2 linked regions of the Astyanax mexicanus genome follow. The protein of the gene in region 2 interacts with the protein of the main gene of each other region in a biochemical or structural test. Links are inferred from orthologs where the notes say so. Each region holds a gene or a part of one and is shown on either strand. Other genes may lie near its edges.

Region 1 (12,904 bases), on a different chromosome or scaffold from region 2:
AATCATTAAACCAGCATTAAGTAATTCACCTTCCCCAACGAGAATGATTCCTCAGCCAAGACACATTCTCCATTCCATACTCTACTGCATCCCCGTACGTCAGGAACGGTTTCCCAAGCCTAGAAAAGAAAGTAAAAGTCAAACCATCCAAAAAAAAAAATGTATGGACATGCATGTGCCCAAACAGGTTTCATATCCACGAGACAGATGAGCAGAAACACATTTTTTCTACATGATCATCTAAAGCATTACTCATACTATCAAAGTCTCTTTTCTGTTTTAGTGAAAAGGCAACATTACCACTAAAAGTAACACCACTGCTTTACACAGGGAAACTATAAACTAAACAATATTTGAAAATATTTGCTCACATAACAGTTTGCATGTGCTGCCAATCTGACACTGTGTATATAAAAGTCAAGTCCAAGAGCTTCTGTTAACAATTCATTTGCATTATAATCAGTAATCAGACTACTGTTAAGTATGAGAGAAAAAAAATATATATATATACAGTTTACAGTATAATAAAGTCATGCATTAAAAATTTGAATGGCAAATTACAGGTTGAGTCAAAAGTCACAAGACACCATTGTTTTTTAGAAACGAAAGGGAAACACATCTGAATACCTCAGCTAGTAATGGGAAGGAAAAAAAACAAAAACAAAAACAAAAAATAAACAATACACTGCTTTGCTTAATTTTTTTTTTGCAATATACTGCAATACATTGAATTGTAACCCCTGTATCATGATGTGCATCATATAGCCAGGGTAATGCCTATACACAGCCCATTTAATAACCTTTTTTAACCTTTTATTTTTCTCTCCTCTCACATGAGCAGACCGCATCAGGCTAGTGACGCAAACTGTTTATGTGGCTTGTCTACAGTGGTTTTGGTTGCGCTGATACACAGCCCTCTCATATATCCTATAAAGGTTTTAACTTTGTAACAAAGCGATGTTGTGTATTATGTGCTACATGTAGGAGTAGATTTTATAAAGTTAAAATCCCTGAATGTCTGAGAGTAGTATCTAAGAAAAAGTAAACAGTGATGTCCTAGAGTAATAACGTGATGTACACGGATACAGGCGTGACTTACTTCCTCAAATGACTGAACTGAGTAAGCAAGCTCTGGACAAACAAATGAGGTTTAACAGCTGTTTAACCAAGACACTTACTTAGCACTTAGATGGTGGGAACATTTCACCAGAATCTGCATGCAATGCACAGCCACAATGCCCATCACGAAGAGACTCAGAGGACCCACCTGCAGACAGTTTCACAAAGTCAGTTGTTAATGAACTGAACATATTTATAATATACCTAATATACAAGTTTCAATGAAGTGAATTCAACAATCAGTATATATATGGTTACTGTCCTGCAAGAGCGTTCATAGTTTTTTTTTTTTTTTTTTTTTCATTTTTGCTGTTTTTAAATTTTTTTTTAGATTATTTGGATCTGGCAACAACAATAATGTTATTTTTTGTGACGACAGAGTTTTAAAACACTAAAGTAATGTAATAAAACAGCATCATTAGAGCTGGATCAAAAAGAAAATCTGTTTTTCTCTAGATTAAAAAGAAAACTCATATCCTATATATAAAAAGCCTTTCTTAATCCTTTATATACTGACATGCCATAATTCATGTGATACCAGTATGTAACTTGATCATTAAGTGTTACCACAGGAGATGGTATTAATTGTTAGTGGGGTTAAATACTGGTCAGTGTGCTCATGGCAAGGTGATAGTTTGGCAGGTGATAGGTGGCATAGTTTGAGCGAGGTCTGATAGTGGGTGAGGGGAGATGGATTGGGAATACTTTATAAAGGGCATAACCACCCAAAATGGAAAGTGCATCAGATGAAAAACAAACGACTGGCAGAAATCACATCCACATTCAATGCAGGTCTCAATTCATTTTCTAGATTCCATTCCAAAAGTCGTAGGACATGAGACTAGTTTCTGTCTCATGATATGTGGCATGCCAGCGTAATTTAGCATACCTTTTGGTTGCACATTATTGACTTTTGTTCTGACTGCCTGCCCTTTATTGTTTCCATAGTATCAGTCTTTTTTTTAAGTGAGTTTTATATGATACAGGCCATTAAAGCCAAGCACACAAAATGTGTATAATGTATTTTTTAATGTAATAACTTTAAACTGATAATAGAGACCTACCACAAGCCCTGCATTCTTCACAGCAAGAGGCAAGCCTAGCAGACCAGTGCCGATGTTTCCTTTCAGTAAATGAATTAAGGTCTGAAAAAACCTGTAAACACAAGAAGCAGAGCCTGAGACCAGCAGTCTAATCAGAACAACTTCAGTCCATTCACACTAAGTTACTGTGACTGGTCTTACGAGGATCCGGTTCTGCCTCCAATTCGCTCGTACTGTCTCTGCATGCGGGACGGGGAATGGACGGGCTCTTCGTCCTCTGTTGGACTCTCCTCTGTACAGGAGAATGCAGGCCCTGAAAAAAAGTTTAAAAGACATTTTTATTCATCATTTTTCTATGTATTAACTTTAATAACTTTAATAATTGACAAACTCTTAATTAGTATTAATATTTATATTGGTGCAAATGTAAAATAAAGAAAAAAGAAAAAGAAATCCCCAATGCTCTTTATAATGAAACCAATATGGGAGAAGGAAAAATCATTCTTAGTAAGTGGATTTAATGTATTTATGTAAGCGATTTTATTGGACCGTACGTAGTAAAATGTGCATAGAACGGAAAGGGACGTTAGTGTTTTGAAAGGGTTCAAAACAAAGCATACAATAGAAATACAGTCAGCTGAAAATATAGGACCATCATAAAAACCTTAGATTTTTAAGCATATTTATTCACATGAATATTTGAGCTTTATTAAAACAGTATTGAGTATTAGTTTTTTTAGTTTTAAGCATAATTAAAAAAAAAAAACAATGCTCTCAAAGCTCCATTAAATATCCACTATGAATTATCCATTGTCTCAGAGAGTACTCAAGGACATTTTGAAATATTCCATACATACACAGCTAAGACATTTTCCCAGTCCATGTCTGAGACTGGTGGACAGATTTACGAAAAAACTGAGGTATTGAGGTAATTGTCAGCTTTTTCCAACATTAAAGGTTTTCTTACGTTTAAAAGTTTTCTTTGATTTGCTGTATAAGCTTCATCTTAGAATACTGTTCAAATGCAGCCTACGTGTCTTTTTATTACATCTCTTCATAAAGACAAACATTTGCATGGGGTGTTCCTTTTCTACATGACCATATTTTTATTGCTTGGCAAAAAAGTACCCTAAGAATATAGTCTACTGATACTTACAAGGTATAACTACAAACATATGGAATAAAAATCTTCCTCACTGCAGTACTAAAAAGAAGCACTGATACAGAGTCTAACTTAATAAAGCAAAACAGGCTGCACCACAAATGTTCTTCTAATGCATATTAAATTTGGTTACCATCCTGATAGTTGATGTCTGAATTCATGGCTGTTCCGCTCAGCTGGAAGTTTCACTGGTCCCTGCTTTTATTGTGGAGACAATTCATCCAGCCACTGTAAACCATCAAAGGCAAGCAAAACATTATTATCATCATTATTACGCTGCTGGTTCAAAGCAAACTCATTTTATTGACCTATATTTATTGAGTTTCAATATTTGCTCAAATTATCACAAAAACAATAGTTCCTGTGTGTACTAGTATATATGAAACAGTATTAGTTGTGTAGTAGTGTGCCATATTATACACATTTGTACACAAGAATATCACAAAAATGTCTGACACTATATTGTGATAATAGCAATATTCTTGAAAGCAGTACATATTATTATACAAAAGCAATATTATTTGTTTTGCTATTTACTGTATTTACTTTTAACTATGTTTTATTGCAGTTTATATACATGTACTAAACATGCTGCATTTTATGTTTCGTTTTTAGATTATTTGTTGTTCAATTGCATTATTTTTGTTACATTTTTCATTTAATATTCAAAATCTGGGTCTTGGAAAGTTACTGTTTACAAAATAGACAAATGTTTATAAATTATTTTGTTTCAAGTGAATGTATTAAACTGTTACATTTGTTTTGTTTGGTTGTGCCATATCGCCCACTCCTAGTACTAGTCCATAAAACACAGTGCTTGTATATATGAAACAGAGTGCTAGTATATGAATCACAGTGCTAGTAGGTCACATTATGCTACAAATTCCAAATGACTCTGTTAGTTATGTAAGGTTAAATTTAGCTGAGTAATTTCTTTCACACTTCTCTGAAGTCAAATCCTCTACATCAGCACTCTGCACACGGAGAAGCTATTAACTGCTGACCACTGCAAATGCCAAACATGTGATTTCACTGTTTTTACTTTGTTGTAAAGGAGTTTAAACTAAAATGAGCAATCTTTCTTTTTATAAATCTTCTGTTTTGTTGATAAGGACATAGCATGAAAAGCTAGAATAGGCGCTCAGTATCTACATTCATTGCAATGATTACAGCCACTGATTAATTCAGTCAGCTGGTGTTGTTTAGTATATAGAGTATAAAATATCAAAAAGTTCTGTTGTCCTTTTAAAATACAGCCTGTCACGATAATTACATTATCGACTTATCAAACAATAAATGGATATAACCTTAATAATTGTAATAATTGTGATATCATTCATTGTGTTTATGAGCAAACCTATTTTTGTTGGTGGAAATGCTGCGAACAGTTCAAGCTCAATCCACATTGGTGGAAGCGGTATAAGAGTGTACTGCTGCAGACAAAAAAAGTACAGTCTTCCAAACTACTATTAAGTAAATGTTTATTGTCTTTAAAATTAAATAATTTGTTTGATATGATATCATGTTGTCATTATTTTAGTGGCATTTACTGGGCTTAAATGATAAATTCTGTATGAAACAGACTTGGGGTGTGGTAAAACATGATAATAAATACAAACATTTTCTTAATATTGCACCTCCGTCCAACCCCAGCATTCCAAAATACAGCGCTTATAGCCAATGCTCCCAATACACTTACAATGAATCATGTTTCACTACACCTCAAGTCCATTTTACACCAAATTTCTCCTTTAAAATGACAATAATATTGTTCATCGCAATCATTTCTGCGACATCATATCATTCGCAAAACATTGTTGTCGTGACGTGCATTGCTATAGATTTTATGCATTGAGGTTGAAAGGCATGTGACATTGTGTAATAACAACTATTTTCATAGTTTCAGTTTAGCATATGAACAAGACTGTCTGAACTGCAGTATTCACTGAAATGAGTATTAACTACAAAAAGTAAACTATTAACAGTATTCCCTCATAGCCTTAAAGGGCTGGTTTTATTGAAAAGCATATTTAAACAAAGTCTCCTTGAATAGTGCTGATCAACAACTACTACAACTAGTTACAGCTCTGGAAAAAATTAAGAGACCACTTCAGTTTCTGAATCTGTTTTTCTTATTTAGCTATTTATAGGTATATGTAAAATTAACATTGTTGTTTTATTCTATAAACACCGGACAACATTTCTCCCAAACTCCAAATAAAAATATTGTCATTTAAAGCATTTATTTGCAGAAAATGAGAAATGGCTGAAATAACAAAAAAAAAGATGCAGAGCTTTCCAAGCAGTTCAGCTTGGTTTGATAGCTTGTGATCCTACTGATTATATTCCAGAGGTTTTCAATTTGGTAAAATCAAAGAAACTCATCATCTAAACGCATGTCTTATTTTTTCCCAGAGCTGAATATAAAGTGTAGTTCTTTAACTAGCATTTATTTGGGTTACACTGGACCTAATTTATTGGCTCTAATATTGCTTTGTCCAATGGAAAACTTACCTCAGACAACAATCATATCTTGACCATCTGGGAATGAGTTAAACTGTTCTAAACTAATTTAAGTTTATTTACTAAACTATTCACTTAAAACACAAGCACAAAAACACAAGCACAATGTACAAGGACATGTTTACTAGCCTGTAATTGGCTAATAATCTTATAGCTGGTCACTTAAGTAGCTGCATGTAACCGTAAGTCGTTAAATTTCCCATATATATATCTAATATTTCAGTGTATTTAATGTTATAAAGCAGCCCAGCTGTCTGTCACTCATTCACTCCCTGCCGCTGCAGCTGAGTCGTGGCTCCTGTAGTAAAAGGGCTTATTACTCAGTGAACTGACAGTTAGGCTGGTTAGCTACTCACCGGGAGCTCCAGAGAGCCGCTGCGGCCGCGCAGAAGCCTTATTTCACTAGCAAAGACGAATGAACAGCCACATTTTCCTTTAACAACTTAAACAGATAACAGTATTTAAAGCACGGTCCGGTTTTAAATCTCCAGCGCGGTGTGAACCCCGCCGCTGACCCGCTGTCTCACTGCTGCTGCGAGGCTTGTTGTTTCTTCTGGTGTTCAGAGCGCGCCGGTCACATGATCCTCTGATCAGCTGACGCAGCTTGAGGGAGCTTCTGTGAAAAGCCTGACCAAACTGGCACGTTTAGACTTTAATCTAATAGGATTTTGATATAACAGTAGTTCAGGAAATTAATACATCATTAGTAAAAATGAAAAATGCAATACAACAGAAAATTCCAGCATGTACAAACTAAAGTTTGAAGCTTATTTGTAATACAATGAAATTTTCTGATTCAGTTTTAATTCGTACAATTCGTATTGTATATGTAAAAAATCGAATTATTAAGATTTGATTTGGTTTGTTGCAAATGAAAAATGCATTTAAATTAGATTGCAATTCAATTCTTACATGTAGTAAAAGAACGTTTTAGTCCTCACCATAAAACACAGAAAAGACACCACACACAGAAAAGAAGAAATGTGTGAATATATTTCCTTTTTAATTGCATTTTAAATGTATTTTGTTGTTGTTGTTCATTTATTTATTTTAATGTCACTTGCAAGTTTACAAATTTATATTTTACATATATTTTTGTTCCATATGTACATACACTATTTACACTACACTAAAGCTCTATTGGCCTGTGTGTATGTATATATATAGAGCATGCCGTGAACCAGCCCTAACTGATAAACAAATCACATGTAAGATTAAATAAGAAAACGATTTAACGATTCAATTCAGTTAAAAAAAATAAAGACATATAAACATTAGTTTAGTTATCCTCGTTGTTTGATAGTATTTTTAAATTGCTTTTAGTACTTAATAATAGACAAATACAAAACTAATTTTAAGAGAGACCTATAAAGATATAGAGAAAATTTATTTAAAGAAAACCTCAGAACTTTTCCCATTATGCTCCGATTCCGCAGTGTTGTAATATGGTAATACACGCTTCAGAAAGTGGGCGGTAATTTAGTGATCATCCCTAAGTCACACGTCTTCGCTCAGCACCGAGCAGCAGAGTAGCAGAGTTCAGATAGCTCTTGGTGTTCATTTAACAGGAGGTTTCGTTTACTTAATTCTTTTGACGCTCTCAAGATCTTATCGGATCATGGCAGTAAGTGTCTTTTATCTTTGATTCCCGACTTTAGCCGATAGTTCAGGGCTTTTGCTGTCTAAAGGCCAAGGGCTCATTTTCTGGTCGTGTTTAGCTAAGTTGCTAATTTAGCCTGTTGGATTTAGTAAGTTAGGGATAGCTTGGCTGGTGCAGGGACTCGGAATTTAAACAGTCTGAGATAACGCTGTTTTTGTCCACAGACCCACGAATTCTTTGTTGATATGACCTGTGAGGGATGTTCTGGAGCAGTCACCCGGGTTCTTAAAAAAATAGGTAGGTCTACAGTGTGTATGTTGATGTTTGTATGTGCTGATGTTTGTGTGTAGTTTAGGAGTTAATTCAACTTTTCTCAGCTAGCTGAACTAACCTAGAGTAATCTAACTATTAGCTAACTAGCTATCTGGGTTAGCTGGCAAGTTACCCTAAGAGCCTAAACCCACTTTTGAATATTGATTCTAATTTCTAAATCAAATCTGATAAATTCAGTGGGCAGCTCATTTGGGTTTTTTTTGTATTGTGGGCACATATTATATGAAATATAAATATTATGGCTAAAATCCTGATGCAACCCAAATGACACCACAACATTTTAATAACCTGTATTTTAAAGTGTGTGAAATGATGTAAAATGGACATAAAATGTAATAAAACATGATCATGAGGATGAACCTTTAGCCCTATCCGGGCGGGAATAATTTCTTAGGGGGACTGCAATTGAAAAAACAGGAGGACCAGTGATTTTTTAGGCTTTCTCGGTCACATGACATTGCATTCAGTAACTCCTCCATTTCCCCTTGCTGTTGTGTTCATGTGTATTTCCTTGGATAAGTGCGTCCCCAAAGTGTAATTACGGTGCATGGCAGTGGACAAATAGCTATTTTATATATTTTTTTTAAATGCAAGGTGACAAAATGCAGAGATGTGCATTATGGATGAGACTTAAATTACCGGACGAGTTCAGTGAAAAACAATAGGTTATTCAGGCTGCAATTTTCTCATAGGACATCTGAGAAAAACACGTACATGGTCATTCCGGACGTAAATAAAATCACAGAGGACCCCCCATAAAAGAGAAAATCACCCCATGACCAACTGAGAAACTTATTATTGACAGAATTCCAAGGGCCCTGACATATAAAATGAGGCGCTGAGAATCAATAAGTCGACTGACGTGCATGAACGAATAGGTAGGATAGGGGAACAGGTTAGGCAAAATGTATTAGTGGAAATGCATAACTTCAAGTTGTTGCTGAAAGTATCTGGTGATTGTCTACATCAGACTGAAGAGCACCATAAAACAAAGGGCATAATCTTTACTGAACTACTCAGAACTACTAATCTTTTGAACTACTCAGTCACTCGTCAGTTGACTTAGCGTGACTTAATTTTAAGCCTGAAAAATTACCTGAAGGTGCACTATCAAAGTTTTCAGTGCCTTGTTTTTAATGTCAGGGCCTTTAGAATCTTACGAATGCAGTGTGGAGCTTCTTTGAGCTTGGTAATGGTGAAAAAAAAAAAAGATTTCTGGCCAGGGGAAATGCAATGCCCCTATCACTAGCATTGGAGGCCTGTTGGAAGCATCAGCTAAAAAACACTGTATTTGGTAATGCTGGGGGTAAATAGAGGTGGGTTAGTCGACAAAAGTTTGTACTCGATATTATGTTTTACTACACCCTAAATCAAGGAACTTTTTTACATATCATTAAGGGTCTGTGACATATATTACCACAGGCTCTTTTGAAGCAAAGACCCAAATTAAAACTCTTGTAAACTCTTTAAAAGCATGTAATGATATTTCAGAGCAGTGATATAGTTGACCTGTTTATTGTTTTGTTTTTGCTTTTGTTTTTTTTTGTTTTTTTTTCCATTGCTTTTTTATCATGTGTACACACTTCTTTGGTTTCATATTGTACTGCGTAGTCAGTTTCGTAACGGACTGTTTTAGGTCAAATGAGTGTGCACAGTGTGCATCACTGCTGTCTGAACTCTTTTTCTGATTGCCAAATAAACAAATTTACAGGAAAAGCAAAAATCTTCCTAATTTTCAGGAGAAGTCAATGTAAATAATTTATTTCATTTATTTTACTGATTTATTTACCCTAAATGTGAATAATAAAATGCACATTTCAATTGTGTAAGGAAAATTAAAGAATAAGAAACTGGATATACAAGGTTTTTATGAGACATTTTGACATATAATGAAGTGCCATGGTAGGGTGACAGCTGAAAGCTTACAGTTTACACAATTTTGAATGTTTAAAATGTTTACAGCCTATTCTTAATTCAACAGATGTCAAGTTTGACATTGACCTTCCTAACAAGAAGGTCTTCATCGAGTCAGACAAAGACAGTGATGTTCTTCTAGAGACGCTGAAGAAGACTGGAAAAACTGTCACTTACATCGGCACAAAATAGAGGATGCTCAGCATTTAACAGCTTTTCTACACCATGTAAGCCTGCTGCTTCTCTTTCCTAATTAATAACCACTGGTTGTTTATTTACTGACATTATGAGTATTATTAAATTGTATTAGTTTATATTTATATGCATTTTGGGTTTGGGTTTCAGTCTCCTTCATTTGTGATTCTCCATGTGACAGGTTGTAATTCCTGACAAGATTATGGATGGCTGTGTGATCACGCTCTTCAAGAATGAGGTGTGTGACTGTGGGGACCAGTGGAACAAGCTTCTAAAACCTGTCCTGATGTGCACCATGATAATCAATTCAAATGCTAATTAATGAAATATTAGTATCTAATGCAACATAGTTTTAGTACAATGGCTCCTTTTGTGGCTGCAATATAACAACTAAGTATAGACATAGTCTGCTACTGTATTGTCTGATCATGAAAAAAAGCCTGTTTTCTTGCCTGTTTGGAATTTGAAATTAATAAAATGAATACATTTAAGTATTAAACACTGTTTTAATGGAAAATTAAATTAAAGTTTATGTAACATGTTTTGTGATTAGCATATAAGCTTCAGGATCACAGCAAACCGGCTAAATTTTTTTACTTTTTTTTTAAATAGACATTTGGTTATTTTTAACCTGAAACACAACAAATAGTGCATTTGATACAAAATAGATATAAAACCATATAGAATTTCATTTACAACCTTAAATCAAAAAAGTAGAGACAGAATAGAAAATGCAAGTAAAAATGCATTATGGCATACATTTAATGTAACTAATTTAGTAATTATTTCACTTTTTTTTTTTTTTTAATGTACAACTATTCCTGCATTGCGGCCCTGCAACAAAGGTAGAAACAAATTTGAAGAGTCAAGCATTTACCACTAGTGTTGTCATTTGTTGTCACCACGCCAGCATGTGTGTTTGCATTGTCTTGTTGAAAAATCCCCATACTATGACCCTGGATTTTGGACTTGTTGCTGATAACAGTCTGGATGGTCTTTTATATCTCTGCTGTGGAGCAAAGGGCATCCTGTTATACCTTATATATTGATTAGTCTGACCACAATTCACATTTCCCCTGGGTGATGGTCCATTCCACATGCCCCCAAGCCCAGAGAATTCAACACTTCTAGACAATGTTTATGGTTGTATTTGTGAATGAAACTTTATATTGTAATGTTTGACAAATGTCTACAAAAGTAATCAATTAAACATGTGGGTCTATTAGCTATTGCTGAATGACAGTTCTTGATATAGTGCCGCCTGAGAGATTGGAGATCATAAGAGCCTTTGGCATATATCCACTGCTAATTACCAGTTCCTTAAATGGTTTAATAATAGTACAAAATATGCAAATTCCTTCCATTTGTTTTTGACTGTTTTGTTTCAATTTGTTATGACCAGGAGATCCTCTTCCAACTTTTGCTCTTCAGACTTAAGGGGATACATCTATTTGAAATTAAATAATTTTTTATTGATTTATTTTTTTTTACCCCATTATTAACCCTAAATGGCCCATGTTCCAAAGTCTCAGGTAAAAATGCAGGAATGCAATATTAACAAATAATCTTTAATATCTTTACATATGGGGTTGCATATATATATATATATAAACACACTTCAGTTTCTGTTTCTTCAGTTTCTGAATCAGTTTCTCTGATTTTGCTTTTTATAGGTATATGTTTGAGTGAAATAAACTGCTGTTGAATTTTATAAAGTACGAAAAACATTTCTCCCAAATTCCAAATAAAAACATTGTCAGTTAGAGCATTTATTTGCAGAAAATGAGAAATAACAAAAAGCTGCAGAGCTTTCAGACCTCAAATAATACACAGAAAACAAGTTTATATTCAAAGTTTTAAAAGTTCAGAAATCAATATTTGGTGAAATAACCCTGGTTAATCACAGTTTCATGCATCTTGGTATGTTCTCCTCAACCAATCTAACACACTGCTTTTGAATAAATATATGCCACTGCTGGTACAAAATTTCAAGCGGTTCAGCTTGGTTTGATGGCTTGCAATCATCTATTTTCCTCTTGATTATATTCCAGAGGTTTTCAATTTGGTAAAATCATGGAAACACTACCGTTCAAAAGTTTGGGGTCACATTGAAACGTCCTTATTTTTGAAGGAAAAGCACTGTACTTTTCAATGAAGATAACTTTAAACTAGTCCTAACAAATACACTCCTAAACAAATACACTCTGTACATTGCTAATGTGGTAAATGACTATTCTAGCTGCAAATGTCTGGTTTTGGTGCAATATCTACATAGGTGTATAGAGGCCCATTTCCAGCAACTATCACTCCAGTGTTCTAATGGTACAATGTGTTTGCTCATTGGCTCAGAAGGCTAATTGATGATTAGAAAACCCTTGTGCAATCATGTTCACACACCTGAAAACAGTCTAGCTCATTACAGAAGCTACAAAACTGACCTTCCTTTGAGCAGATTGAGTTTCTGGAGCATCACATTTGTGGGGTCAATTAAACGCTCAAAATGGCCAGAAAAAGAGAACTTTCATCTGAAACTTGACAGTCTATTCTTGTTCTTAGAAATGAAGGCTATTCCATGCGAGAAACTGCTAAGAAATTGAAGATTTCCTACAACGGTGTGTACTACTCCCTTCAGAGGACAGCACAAACAGGCTCTAACCAGAGTAGAAAAAGAAGTGGGAGGCCGCGTTGCACAACTAAGCAAGAAGATAAGTACATTAGAGTCTCTAGTTTGAGAAACAGACGCCTCGCAGGCCCCCAACTGGCATCTTCATTAAATAGTACCCGCAAAACACCAGTGTCAACATCTACAGTAAAGAGGCGGCTGTGGGATTTTGGGCTTCAGGGCAGAGTGGCAAAGAAAAAGCCATATCTGAGACTGGCTAATAAAAGAAAAAGATTAAGATGGGCAAAAGAACACAGACATTGGACAGAGGAAGACTGGAAAAAAGTGTTGTGGACGGATGAATCCAAGTTTGAGGTGTTTGGATCACAAAGAAGAACGTTTGTGAGACGCAG
Region 2 (13,434 bases):
ACTGATGAGGAGGGATAGCCGTGATGGGTGACCTGAGTTTGGTCTAAGGTCACTGAGACTGCCCGGCTCGTAGGCCAGATTATTGAAGCCATGTTTTTTAGAGGCCCACGCCTCAGAAGGACTGCCATTCTCCTACAAACAAAAACAGATCGTTTAATTATTTAATGCTAAAAATGTATATTCATTTTGTAACTGTAAAAACCTTTACATATTTTGTATGCCTTAAAATTCAAATACTGTAACCCTAGAGCACATGTGTCAAACACAAGGCCCGCGGGCCAAATGTGGCCCGCCACGTCTTTTTATGTGGCCCGCGAGAGCTTGTAAGATCTTAGTGTCTATAATAAATAAGTCAGAAGCGTTCTTTGACCAAAAAATACATTTCCCACAATGCTTGTCGATTGTATTACCCGCAAAGTTACGGCTTACTGCCACTACACGGCAGTGTAGTCATTGATGTGGAAACCCTGCCGGAGGGAAGGTGTAACTTCGCGGGTGGAATTGAGACATATAAATGTTTATCCCATAATGTCCAGAAAAAGAGAAGTTGATGCAGACGGACGGCTGTGCTTCAAGGCGAAAGACCGGTATGCCTTTTGTGTTACGAAGAGTGTTACTGACCAAAATAAACGCTTTTTAGGAGAGATATAAGTTCTGTGTAAACATTTATAAGACAATAGCTGACAAAATCTGTTTTAATGACGTTAATAAACATCACTGTGACAGCGCTAGTCGCAGTTTCACCGCAGCAAAGTACGAGGACGTGAATCACTTATCTAACCAGCCTTTACTGATTTCTGCCCTCAATAACCCTTTCAATAACCTCCAATAGCCTTTAATAGTCTTCAGTAGCCTTCAACAGTCTAACCTTGCAGCCGTGGTGTGTCCACTAAACTCCGTAGTTATAAACATCCTGAGGTTAGCAGCGCGATAACTGACCTGTTTATAATGTAATCCCAGCAGTGACTCATGCTCTAAACGGCTGCTGTTAGCTGATTGGGCTGAAAGATGAACTGTAGAGAGCTGTATTATTCGGTTACAAAAATCTTTATTTCATACACAGAAGAACTTAAAAATTGTAAAAACGCTCCAGACTGGCTGAGCTGAGCCCTGTAGCCCGTGGCTGGGCTGTAGCTCTGACTCAGTAAAGACTGCGGACTTGTGGTGCTGCTGCTGCAGCTCCCACTAGTGGTTGGATGAGGAACTGCTAAATCTGAGGAAATGCTATGTTCTTAACAGCTCACAATTTTTGATTTTATATTTATTAAGCCTTATTTCAGTTAATAATTTCAAAGTTAATATAACTTGATGTCATTTCTATTCACTTGAATAGTTTGGTTCTTGATTGATGGAGTTTTTGGATTTCATGACATGACAAATTAAAAGGATTTATGTTAATAGAGCAACAAGCAAACATTTTTTCCATGCAACTGTAATATTTGATTGAATAAATAATATATTGAGAGTTATTTAACATTAAGGAGTAATTACATTCATTTACATATATTACATTTGGTTACATTTTATTACATTTATAAGTTACATCTGGCCCTCGGAGGACAGCCAATATGCCAATGTGGCCCTCGGCCAAAATGAGTTTGACACCCCTGCCCTAGAGTGTCACGGTTGCAGCAAGGGATGAAAATGGGTGGACATAAATGCAAGTAATTCTAATAAAAAACAAGACAAAGTAAAAGAAAACTACAAGAAAAAACAAACCAACTGTAATAAAGCTAACTGACAAGCAAAAAACAGAGGAAACTGGGAGCAACCATCAACATACATGTAAAAAGCACAAGACCAGACAAATTTTTTTCATACTTACTTTTTCATATTATCAAACAAACATAAATATAAAAAAATATAACCTAAGCAAATATATAAAGCCCTTTATGAATGATGATTTCATTTATTACGAGAAAAAACTACCCAAACCAATCTAGCCCTTTGTAAAAAAGTGTTTGCCATCCCATAAATTACATGTGATCTCAAAAAGCAACACATTATGCCCGATCTAAAGAAATTTTAATACAGATGAGAATAAAAAAGTCATTGATCATCCATCAATCTGGAAAAGGTTACACAGTCATTTCCAAGGCTTTAGCAGACCACAGTGAAAGCTATTATTTACAAATGGATAAAACACGGAACACTGGTGAACCAGTTAATCGAAATTATTCCAAAAGGGCATGGACAACTCATTCAGGAGGTCACAAAATAACCCAGAACAACATTTAAAGTACTGCAGGTCCCACTTGCCTCAGTTAGGGTCAGTGTTAAAGATTCAATAATAAGAAATAGACTTGTGGAAAATTATTTTAATGGGAGAGTTCCAAGGCAAAAAAAAGCACTGCTGACCAAAAAGAACACAACGGCCTGTCTTACATTTGGCAAAAAAAACATCTTGGTGATCCCCAGGACTTTGGGGTAAATATTTTGGACTAATGAGTGACAACAGTGGTACTTTTTGGAAGGTGTGTGTCCTGTAACGTCTGGAGTAAAACTAACACATAATTTAAAAAAAAGAACATGTTTATGTTCATGATCTCAAGCTCAGGTGTACTTGGGTTCTGCAGCAGGACAATGATCCAAACCACACAAACAAGTCCACCTCTGAATTATAAAAACAAAATGAAGGTTTTGGAGTGGCCTAGTCAAAGTCTGATTGAGATGCTGTGGATAATCTTTATCACGTGGTTTGTGCTGAAAAAAAAAACTGCTCTCCAAAAAGAACACTGCTGCTTGTCTGGAGTTTGCTAAAAATCACATAGACAAGCCAGAAGACTATGTACTGGAAAAAATGTTTGTGGACAGATGAGACCCAAATATACAATACACAAAGGTTCATATACTTTTCCTATTACAAATATGTAATAAATCGATCAATAAATGACCAAGTATAATTTCTTTCTTTCTATCAACTTTTAGGACTAATGATGTTTTAGGTTATATTTATGCAGAAAGGTAAAAAAGGGGTCACAAACTTTGAATCGCGACTGTAGATGCAGAGACGGTTGAAAGGAAGGGGCACCGTCTACAGTACCACCTACAGTACAGTGTGGGAAACACTGAAATCCATTTGGTAGCCATTCTGTAATGAACTGAACTGTATGAACTCAAGTTGATCCAGATCCACTATGTAAGCACAAGCTAATCACACACACCAGCGTATTAGTGCTAAAGTCTCACACCACACACAACATCAAAGAGCAGATTATACACTGAACAAATCTGACTTATCACATGAGCCCGACTTTTAGGGGGCCATGCATGAGGCAGGGAGAGGTGGAGTGGTGGCTATTTAATTATACTTATGTGTAATTAAATACTCAAACAAAGTATTATTAAATTACTATATTTGGCTCTTAAACAAAATCTATATATATATATATATATATATATATATATATAAAATCTATATATATATATATATATATATATATATATATATATATAAGTGTACACAAATACTGTAATATCAAAGTGTCTTGATATGTATTCTTTGGTGTCTAGAGTTGTACTCTTTACTAGAGCTGTGCGATAAATCATATTTTCTATCATTACCGTGATATGTGCATGAGAATTGCTATAAGTTTCTGAATAACAGTACACTCATTCTGCATTACCCTCATGCAGTAACAGCGGGATCTCTTCACACTGCAGACTGTGATCACATGACATAGCTAGGCTAGAGGAAGAGTAAGGCAGAGTGAGGTAAAGTGAGGTACAGTGAGGCAGAGTGAGGTAGAGGGAGGCAGAGGGATGTAGATCAAGCTGGATTGATGTAGAGGTAGGAAGAGAGAGGTTGAGTGAGGCAGAGCAAGAGAGAGGTAGGTATAGGCAGGTAGAAAGAGGTAGAGGGAGGTAAAGCAATGTAGAGTGAGGTAGAGGGATGTAGAGCAAGCTAAAGGTAAGTAGAGGGAGATGCAGCAATGTAGAGTGAGGTAGAGGGATGTAGAGCAAGCTAAAGGTAAGTAGAGGGATGAAGATACTTGGAACCTAATATAATAGAAGTTTATTCAAATCTTACTTTTACTTGACTACACAATCCTGAAAACATGTAACTAGACAGTACCCAACTTGGTATGCATTTTATTATTATTATTATTATTATTATTATTATTATTATTATTATTATTATTATCATTATTATTATTATTATTATTAGTAGTAGTAGTAGTAGTAGTAGTAGTGAAATAAGTAATATAATATCACAAGCATGCAAATATTTATAATCTCATGTCTCGCTCAGAAAAAGCTGGGATATTGACTGGTAACTGAAACATTATAAAAGTTGAACTAGACAGAGATAAGAAGTAAAGAGCAATGATCAGTGTTTTGCGCGCACACACACACACACACACACACACACACACACACGTACACTGCCATATCTAAAAACCTATGACACTGACCTTTATGCAGAGCAAAGAGCTCAAGTAAAGCTACTGGTAAATCAATGGAACTATGGTTCAAAGACATGTACAATCAGCTACCAAATCCTTTTAACATCCATTTATAGCAAATAGTAATTTAACAGGACATTTGTTAAAGTTATTTAAATTTAAGTACAAATAAAATGGTAAGATTATTTGCCACACAACTAAACCTTAATTAAAGTTTCCCACATTCTCTATAGAACTTCAGTAAAGCTCATTAGAACATCTAGTAACACTGGAACTAAAGGTAGACAATATGACAAAAGTCCTGACACTTCTCTGTGATATACATGCCACATGTACTTTGGAAGGAACTAGTACTGCATTCCATGACTTTTGCCATGTACCACTGAAGCTAAAGAACGCTGCGCTGGTCAGCATTAAATGTAGATGTGATGTAATTTTTTGTACAGATCATTCTAACCAGCCACCACTGGTCACAAACATGTACAAACTACGTGACTAAGTGAAAAAAAAAGGCTTTAAGTAATGGTTGTCAATCTGAAGAATTTCAAGAACTTTGAAAGTATCCTCAAGTGCAGTTGCAAAAGACAAAACCATTAAAGACCTTATGAAAAAAATGGCTTTCATCTGGACTGCCCCAGGAAAGGAAGAGCAAGAGTTGCCTCTGTTGCACAGGATAAATTAATCAGAGTTACCAGCCTCAGAAACCTCAAGTTAACAGTCTCCCAGATAATTTTGGTTTGTTTAACACTTTTAGTTTACTACAAAATTCCTTATTTGTTCCTTCATAATCTGGGTGACTTCACTATTAATTTATCATTTTAAACATTTTAAACAATTGAAACTTTAGACTAGTACTGTATATTTTTCTATTTTTGATGGTTTTGGTCTAAAAAATTATAAAGCTCAAAGGTGTTAGACATAAACCCTTGCAAAGCCTTTTTAACACAGAAAACACCCTATACTATTAAATGTATATCATTGCTGCCCAGTAAAAAACAAGTATTTCCATTTTTGTTGATTTTTAGTTTACTACATAAATTGAACAGACTGTTCCTTACACTGTGCCGAAATTTCTTGATTAACATACCAATATAAATACTTCCAAGTAATCTCAAAACAAACTCTTTTTTACAATGACTTGTTAATTGAAAGTTTAGAAGATTTTTTTCTCTCTCCTGTAAAGTTGCTGTCTTGTTTTTCGCTGGACAGTGAGCATATATTCTTCTTTATTTGAGATTTTGTTCAGTTTTAAATTAGCCCAAACAGAGTTGAGCAGAACTTTGGGATTTTAGAATTGTAACTGGAATTACATATTCTACAGAAAATAGATATTATATGCAATTGATTTTATAACTGTTAAAGACCTAGTAAAAAAAAGACTTATCAGAATAAATTTATGTAAATATAAACTGAATGTATACATGGAGGTTGAGGTTAAGTAAATAATGTGAAGGGGGGGGGTTAGTTTATATAATTAATATTTTATGTGATTATGCTCAAAATATGTTACTATTCTATTAAGCATTATTAATGGTGGAAAATGAATTTAATTAGTATATAATATTTAAAACTGATTCAATAAAGATTTTGTTTGTTTTGCGTTTCATGTGGAAGATGTAATGAAATGTACCAAAATTCTATCATGTTAATTAAAAATGCTCCTAAAGTCGAGTAAATTAATAAATTACAGAACTTTTATTAACAGTAAAAGAAACTGACTAAAAACAGCGTTTAGAAAACGTTTAAAATGACGCTAATAATAAAACAGCCCTCAGGTCTCAGCCCCGCTCCTCCAGGCGCTTACCTTCCCCTCCTGCAGCCGGGCTGAGCGCTGCGAGAAGCGGCAGACACACGGCTCCGTCCCCGGGCAGCGGCACGGAGGACCGCAGTCCACCATACACACCTGCTCCCCGCCCGAACCGAGCCGCCTGCGCCTCCCGAACCCGCCCAGCGAGTCCAGCCTGTTCATCTCACTTTCTGGAAGTTTCTGGCTTTATTGGACCGGACCGAGCCGCGGACAGTCCCGTGCGGAGCGAGCTGAGGGCGAACCGCGCGCTTTTTACCCTGCCTCTGCACACGACACCCGGCTGGCACACTGCCCACCCTCACCTGCCCGGCCAGGCCGCGTGCACTGCCCGGCACTGCATCACACCCAGAACTAGGGTTGTCACGATACCAAAATTTTGACTTCGATACCGATACCAACTGTAGTATCACGATTCTCGATACCAAAACGATACTTGGAAGAAAAAAAAACAATAAAAATATCTGAACATAAAATGTTTATTTTTGACTGAACTGGATTGAACACTGAACAATCGGTGCAAACGTTTTTATTCTAAAATGAAACATTTGTACAAAAAACAAGTTTCGTTATTATAACCTTAACTATAACATAATTATCTAAACACTTCCTAAAAACTAAAACTAAAACCAGAGGTAATGGTAGCCTGACTATGTGAACCTGACGGGCGGGCAGAAGTTAAGTTCTGAATAAGGAAAATAAAGAGACAGAAGAACATTACAATGTTATGTTCATTTTAACACTCACTGCTCCGTTATATTAATCAACCGTTTACCGTTTTTAATAAGCCCATGTTCAGTGTAACGAGCAAGCAGGCTACGTGCCTGACCACAGATTTGCGATGGAAACGCGAAAACGTGAACATCTTGAGTTCATGTTTCACAGCCAATGGGATAATGGAGAAATAGAGAAAACCACGGGTCCAAAACAAAACTCCTGCACACTCCTCTCCATGTTAATGTGATTTACTAGCAGTCGCTAGTAAATCTTAGTAAAGCTACAGAGTGTATCTTGACTAACTCCACTAACCTGTCGACTTCTCAGCTCTTTGTAGAGATCAGGGTGCTTGTCTGCTAAATGAGCGAAATATGATCAGAATTATGTTAAATAACACTGTAACATAGAAGCATAGAACTATTATTTAATTAAAATGATTTTTAAGAACAGCTAAACACAGTGCTGCAGGTCAAACGCGGAGGCGTTCACGTGCGAGAGAGAGACACAGAGAAAGAGTGAGAGAGCGAGAGAGAGAGAGATTTGCGTGTTCTGATGTGAGCTACTCACAGGTAAAGGTTCTCTTTGATCTCCTCGTGCTCATATTCTAGTCCCATACATAATTCTGCAGCTCCCTCAGTGTTTTCTGTCGTATTTTGCGGCTAGCGCGAGCGCTTACAACTAACACCGCGGAGCGCGAGGTGCCGCCGCCCTTGTGCCGAATCCGCTACTGAATCCGACTCCCGCTTCGCGGACAGAATCGGCACAACCCCCCCCCCCCCCCGCTGTACAACTGCGGGAGTGAAAACAGCGCTAATAAAGTAGTTTAGTTTCACTTTCAGTTTTCGTTATTTTATTTAAAAATAAAAATATCAATAAAAAACAGATGCCTACATCTTAGACTATTTTCCCACACTTCACTCCTCGCGCCCGTTTTGTCCACAAGTCGCGGACGAGAGACATCTGTTATTTTAGCCGTCGCCATTCTACACTCGCTGCTGCTCTGCTGGCTTGCTCGTGAATCGATTCATTTGTTCAGAACACTAAGTTTATCTGAATCCTGCCACACCGACTGCTGCGGTGTGAATCAGTTTTCTTATGAACTGAATCAAATCGCGCCTACTAATTTGACTCATTTGAAGCTAGTGACTGGGCTATATACAGTATCGAAAGCATCGAACGCTAAAGAACCGAATCGTTTGTGATGACGTAGTATCGAAAAAGAATCGAACCTTCGGTACACCGTGCAACTCTACCCAGAACTGTACCCCGGTCACATGCTCTCAGAGACAACACAGATATATCACTGAAGTGCCGTGTGCTCTCAAGTACACTGTTTATCGATTTGCACATTTACAAATATACACATTACATTTAAAAAGAAAATTGAAAATACAGTGTCATAAAAAAATATTTGGTCAAAAGATTAGTCAAAATCTATATACTGTGCCTTTTGTGCTGCAGAATATTTGTTTAAATTTCATACAAACACTTGAACAATACATGCTTCAAAATTCACTCTAAATAAAAACATGCTGTACAGCTCCGGAAAACATGAAGAGACCACTTTAGTTTCTGAATCAGTTTCTCTGATTTTGCTATTCATAGGTACGGACAACATTTCTTCCAAATTCCAAATAAAAATATTATCATTTAGAACATTTATTTGCAGAAAATGAGAAATGGCTGAAAAAACTAAAACAATGCAGAGCTTCCAAACCTCAAATCATGCAAAGAAAACAAGCTCATATTCATTAAGTTTTAAGAGTTCAGAAATCAATCCCTGGTTTTTAACCACAGTTGCTCATTTACAATGAAACATTTAAAGATAATTTAGAATTAACCTCTTGAGACCCTGTGTCCTTATGTGGGGATCTTCTCTGCACCATGATACTTTATATTTAAACTGTTGACTCTTGGGCCTCCTGTGAAAATACTGCCTGCACCAACTAGTGGTCACATGACAACATTACACTCAATTGATGGTGGGAAAACAAGATGGTGAGAATCCCAGTTAAATGTTTCTACAGCCAGTCCAGACAGAAAAAAGGCTCTTAGATCTCACGCAATAAGCATGCATTGAGACACTCGCAAGAAGACATCAAGTGGTTTCCCACAGTGTTCTGAAGAAGCCATACACCAGTCATTAAATTGAGAAATGTAGCTACCTAACAGCCAATCAAGAAACAGCAGCGTTCCAGCCAAAAGCTTTTCAAAGAAGACAATGCAGACCGACACATTTGCCGATGCAGGATTTTTTCAAAAGTTTGTGTGCATGCACAAGAACTGGCTTTTTTCCCTCAATCTTCAACAACAAGTTAGTGTTAGAGGTTTGCATAATGTTGTGTTGTTTCCTGTGTGTTTGTGTCTTTGCTTGAAATATTATTTTAAAATCAGAATCACATTATAAAGAGCTGTAATTACAATTCTACTAGTAATAAAATAATTGTAGATATTGGTAATTAAAATTTTTGCAGTTAAAATTAAATGACAAGAGATACGAGACAGTGAAATTAATTGTAAGGTAACATTTGACTAGTCAGAATAGGCCTGTCGTGATAAGATTTTTTTGTGGACAATATATATCGTCCCAGGATTTTTTGCGATACACAATATTTAGAGTATTAAATGCCACTGACATAATGATAACAGAATAGCATAAAAAAGCAATTTTACACTTTTTAAAGACAACAAAATTTGAATGAATCATTTATTATAAGTTATATTAATATATATTTAGTTATAGTTATATTAATATATTATTATATTATTATTAGTTTGGGAATTGTATACTTATTTCTTCACCTACTTTAGTCCACACTATGTGTATCAAGTCAGTTATTGAAGCATGTCACGTCTGGTGCTGTTAGCTCCTCTGTCCCTTCCACACCCAGCTCTAACGGAGGTTCTCAGGTCAACAACTACATTACCCAGAATGCACCACCCGCTGACATCACGCACTCACCTGATCACGTGACACCTCACGGGCTTCCTCCAGGAAGTCCTGAATACTGATTACTGGCACTATAAAAGAGCACTCCACACAAACACCCACGCCGCGTATTGTAGGTTCTCCTCATTACAAAGCGTTACTTTATCTCTTGTCTCTGTTTATCTCGTGTATTGACCTTGCCTTTGTTTTCTCGACGCCGATTATTGCCTTTGCCTCTGATTTTGGATTGCTTGTGTATTACCTGGACTGTGTTTTCACTACTGCCTCTTGGATTACCTCTGATATTGGATATCTCGTGTATGAACTCTGGACTGTCTCGTTTATGGTATGGTTTTGTCTTCATTGCTCTGGTTATTGGTGATTACCCATTTTTCTGTATCGACTATGTCTTACATCTGTTTATTTTATAATAAACACATTTTTATCAGTATCTGCACGTGTCTGCATTCTGTGCTCACCATGACAAAGCATAACTGGCTAAAATACTGTTCATGTTATATATGTGAACAAACATACAAATAAACACAATATGATATTGCGATTATCAAAAATTATTCAGGTCATGTTCATTTATTGTACGATAAATCGATATTGTAATTATTGTGACAGGCCTAAGTCAGAATTACATTAAAAATATGTGCTATGGTATTATGTCTTGTCAGAATGACTTTAGATCTGTTGTTCTGATATTATTACTAGTAATTATTTCATAGCTGGTGTCAAAATTGAGAATTTCTACTAGTAAAAACTGCATTACAGAGATCAGCAATTTGAGGTTTTAGTAAAAACTGAGTTAGTGCTGAGATCACTGGTGTGATTTTATTCTAAAAATGCTTTCTATATTAAAATGTATCTCCTGTCAGTGCTGGACAGTTTGATTAAGTGTTTTAAGTTTTGATTGAGTCATCAAGGACAAAGTATATATTATATAAACAGTATTACACAATATAGCTCTTCGTAAACATTTTTACACGTGACAATTATAACTCTCCAGCAGGGGGCGCACTAATACACCTATGAAGAAATGAATTCTCCATGCCCAGCATTATCCTGAAAAGAACTGATACACAAGGAGATTCAGACCCTAAACACATACATACATGCCTGCAGAATAAATATATATATATATAAATACATCAATACATATATAACACATGCGACAAGCTGTACAGCAGGGTGGACAGTGAAAATCTTGTGAAAATTGGCATTTAATGAAAACATGGGTGACTTTAGTAATCCCTAGTAATCTTGTTTTGTTTCAAAGATACATTTAAATTTTCTAATATTATGTTAATTACCTTGATATTGATACACCATGACAGGGTGGACAGCTTAAGCTTTACTGAAGCTAAATATGGAGACAAAATTATACATTTAAGTCAAATTAATATTATTAATTGCTGACCATTCAGCAGCAATTGTCTTCAGTCCTTTAAAATAAAAACCGTGTGAAATTTGTGATTTCACTGATGTTGATGTTTAATTTCTTAAAGGAATTAAGGCAGGTTAAAATAGTTCGATAATTTTTATAAAAAAATAAAAAGAGTTAAAAAGAAATTGAAATGTCTAATTATATAAAAAAAAATTCATTCAAAACTTCAAAGCCCACATGAAAGAAAACTGTATAAAATTTACAAAAAAGAAAACTGTATAAAATTTACAAAAAAGTACTTTAAAGTGAGGGTTAACATACCTCTATACAGTGGCTTGCAAAAGTACTCATAACCCTTTAACTTTTTCATATTTTGTCACCTCACAACCACAACTTTATACGTATGTATTTATTGAGATTTTAAGTGATAGACCAACATAAAGTAGCACATAATTGTGAAGTGGAATGAAAACGATACAAGGTTGTCATTATTAAAAAAATAAATCTAAAAAGTGTGGCATGCAAAAGTATTCAGCTCCCTATATCAATACTTGGTAGAGCCACCTTTTTGCTGAAAAAAAAAGTATTTTGGGGTTTGTATCTACCAGCTTTGCACATCTAGAGACTGAGATTTTTGTCCATTCTTTTTTTGCGAAACAGTTAAAGACTTTTTTTATTTCTTGCCACAGAAGCTCAGTGAGATTTAGCTCAGGACTTTGATTGGGCCATTCTAACACATGAATATTCTTTGATCTAAACCATTCCACTGTAGCTCTGGCTGTATGTTTAGGTTTATTGTCTTGTTGGAAAGTGAATCTCCATCCTAGTCTCAAGTCTTTTGCAGCCTCCAACAGGTTTTCTTCCAGAATTGCCCTGTTTTCTGTAGATTATCCCACCCAAGCTGTGGATTTCTGCAGCTCCTCCAGAGTGACCATGGGCTTCATTGCTGTTTCTCTGACCAGTGCTCTCCTTGCTCAATCTGTTAGTTTGGGTGGACAGCCATGTCTTGTTAGGTTTGCACTTGTAGAATTATTTTTCCATTTTTGGATGATCGATTAAACACTGCTCTTTGGGATTCGTAAAGCTTGGGTCTAACCCTGCTTTAAACTTCTCCACAACTTAAACTCTGACCTGTCTGGTGAGCTCCTTGGTTTACATGATGCTGTTTGTTCACTAGTGTTCTCTAACAAACCACTGATGCCTTCACAGGGGGATGAATAATTTTGCACGTCACACTTTTCAGATTTTTATTTCATTTGATATTTTAAAACCATGTATCATTTCTATTCCACTTCACAATTATGTGCTATGTTGTGTTGGTTTATCTCTTAAAATCTCAGTAAAATACATTTAAGTTTGTGGTTGTAAGATGACAAAATGTGAACAAATTCAAGGAATGTGTATGCATACTTTTGAAAGCCACTATATTTGTAATATTGTGTTTATTTAGAGTATATATTGAAAATATATTGTTTCATGGTGTTTGGATGAAATTTAAACAACTATGCCGAGGACACTAACAGCGCATGATATGAATAGTGACCAACACTTTTTTTGTTTTAAAAGTCACATTATTACAGTTAAAACGTGTAATAAAGCACAAAAAGAAAAACTAAACCCTTAACAAACACATAATAATGAAGCAGTGTGTTGTGTAGTGTTGTGTTGTGTTTATTCTTTTATTGTTGTGTAATTTTTGAATATTGTTTTGTAGTGATGTGTCTGTAGAACTGGAAATCTGCTGAATAAAAGTCCGGTTAAATAAAAAAAAGAAAAGGAAACACTCACCCGGTGTGTGACCCCCATGGAGCCGTAGTACATATCTGAACTCGGTCTGCAGTGATGCACACTGTGAGAATCAGGCAGTTCTGGGAGGAAGTGCCCTCGCAGAACAGTCTCGTTTAATGACCACATGACGGTCACAGACTATCAATTGTTGCTCTTCCTGCTTGATAAGACCATATATGGGACTGGAGCAAGCAATGAATGGTGTAATTACTCAAAAAGTAATGCATTACAAATGACTAATTACTAATTATTTCTGGAAGAGAGTAATTAATCTCATTAATGTAATATATATCCATGTTTGCTAATATATCATTATTTAAAAATACCTTTACATTCTTTTTTATACATTTATGTACAGTGGCTTGCAAAAGTATTCATATCCCTTGAACCTTTTCAC

Evidence for each region.
Region 1: the proteins of atp7b (region 2) and atox1 form a complex in vitro, tested with the Homo sapiens proteins (3 studies listed by BioGRID and IntAct). The link is inferred for Astyanax mexicanus from reciprocal best matches to the Homo sapiens genes ATP7B and ATOX1.

Annotation. Positions count from the first base shown.
Region 1 is NC_064417.1:39,243,094-39,255,997, reverse strand, and holds atox1 (copper transport protein ATOX1), read left to right. Parts: upstream 1-7,323; 5' UTR 7,324-7,465; coding exon 7,466-7,471; intron 7,472-7,671; coding exon 7,672-7,744; intron 7,745-9,761; coding exon 9,762-9,886; 3' UTR 9,887-9,921; intron 9,922-10,070; 3' UTR 10,071-10,388; downstream 10,389-12,904. Other genes in the region: slc36a1 (proton-coupled amino acid transporter 1), read right to left, coding at 30-119, 1,179-1,267, 2,184-2,274, 2,364-2,475, 3,458-3,485. UniProt on the Homo sapiens protein: Binds and deliver cytosolic copper to the copper ATPase proteins. May be important in cellular antioxidant defense.
Region 2 is NC_064412.1:38,317,333-38,330,766, reverse strand, and holds the start of atp7b (copper-transporting ATPase 2), read right to left. Parts: upstream 6,489-13,434; 5' UTR 6,376-6,488; coding exon 6,211-6,375; intron 133-6,210; coding exon 1-132. UniProt on the Homo sapiens protein: Copper ion transmembrane transporter involved in the export of copper out of the cells. It is involved in copper homeostasis in the liver, where it ensures the efflux of copper from hepatocytes into the bile in response to copper overload.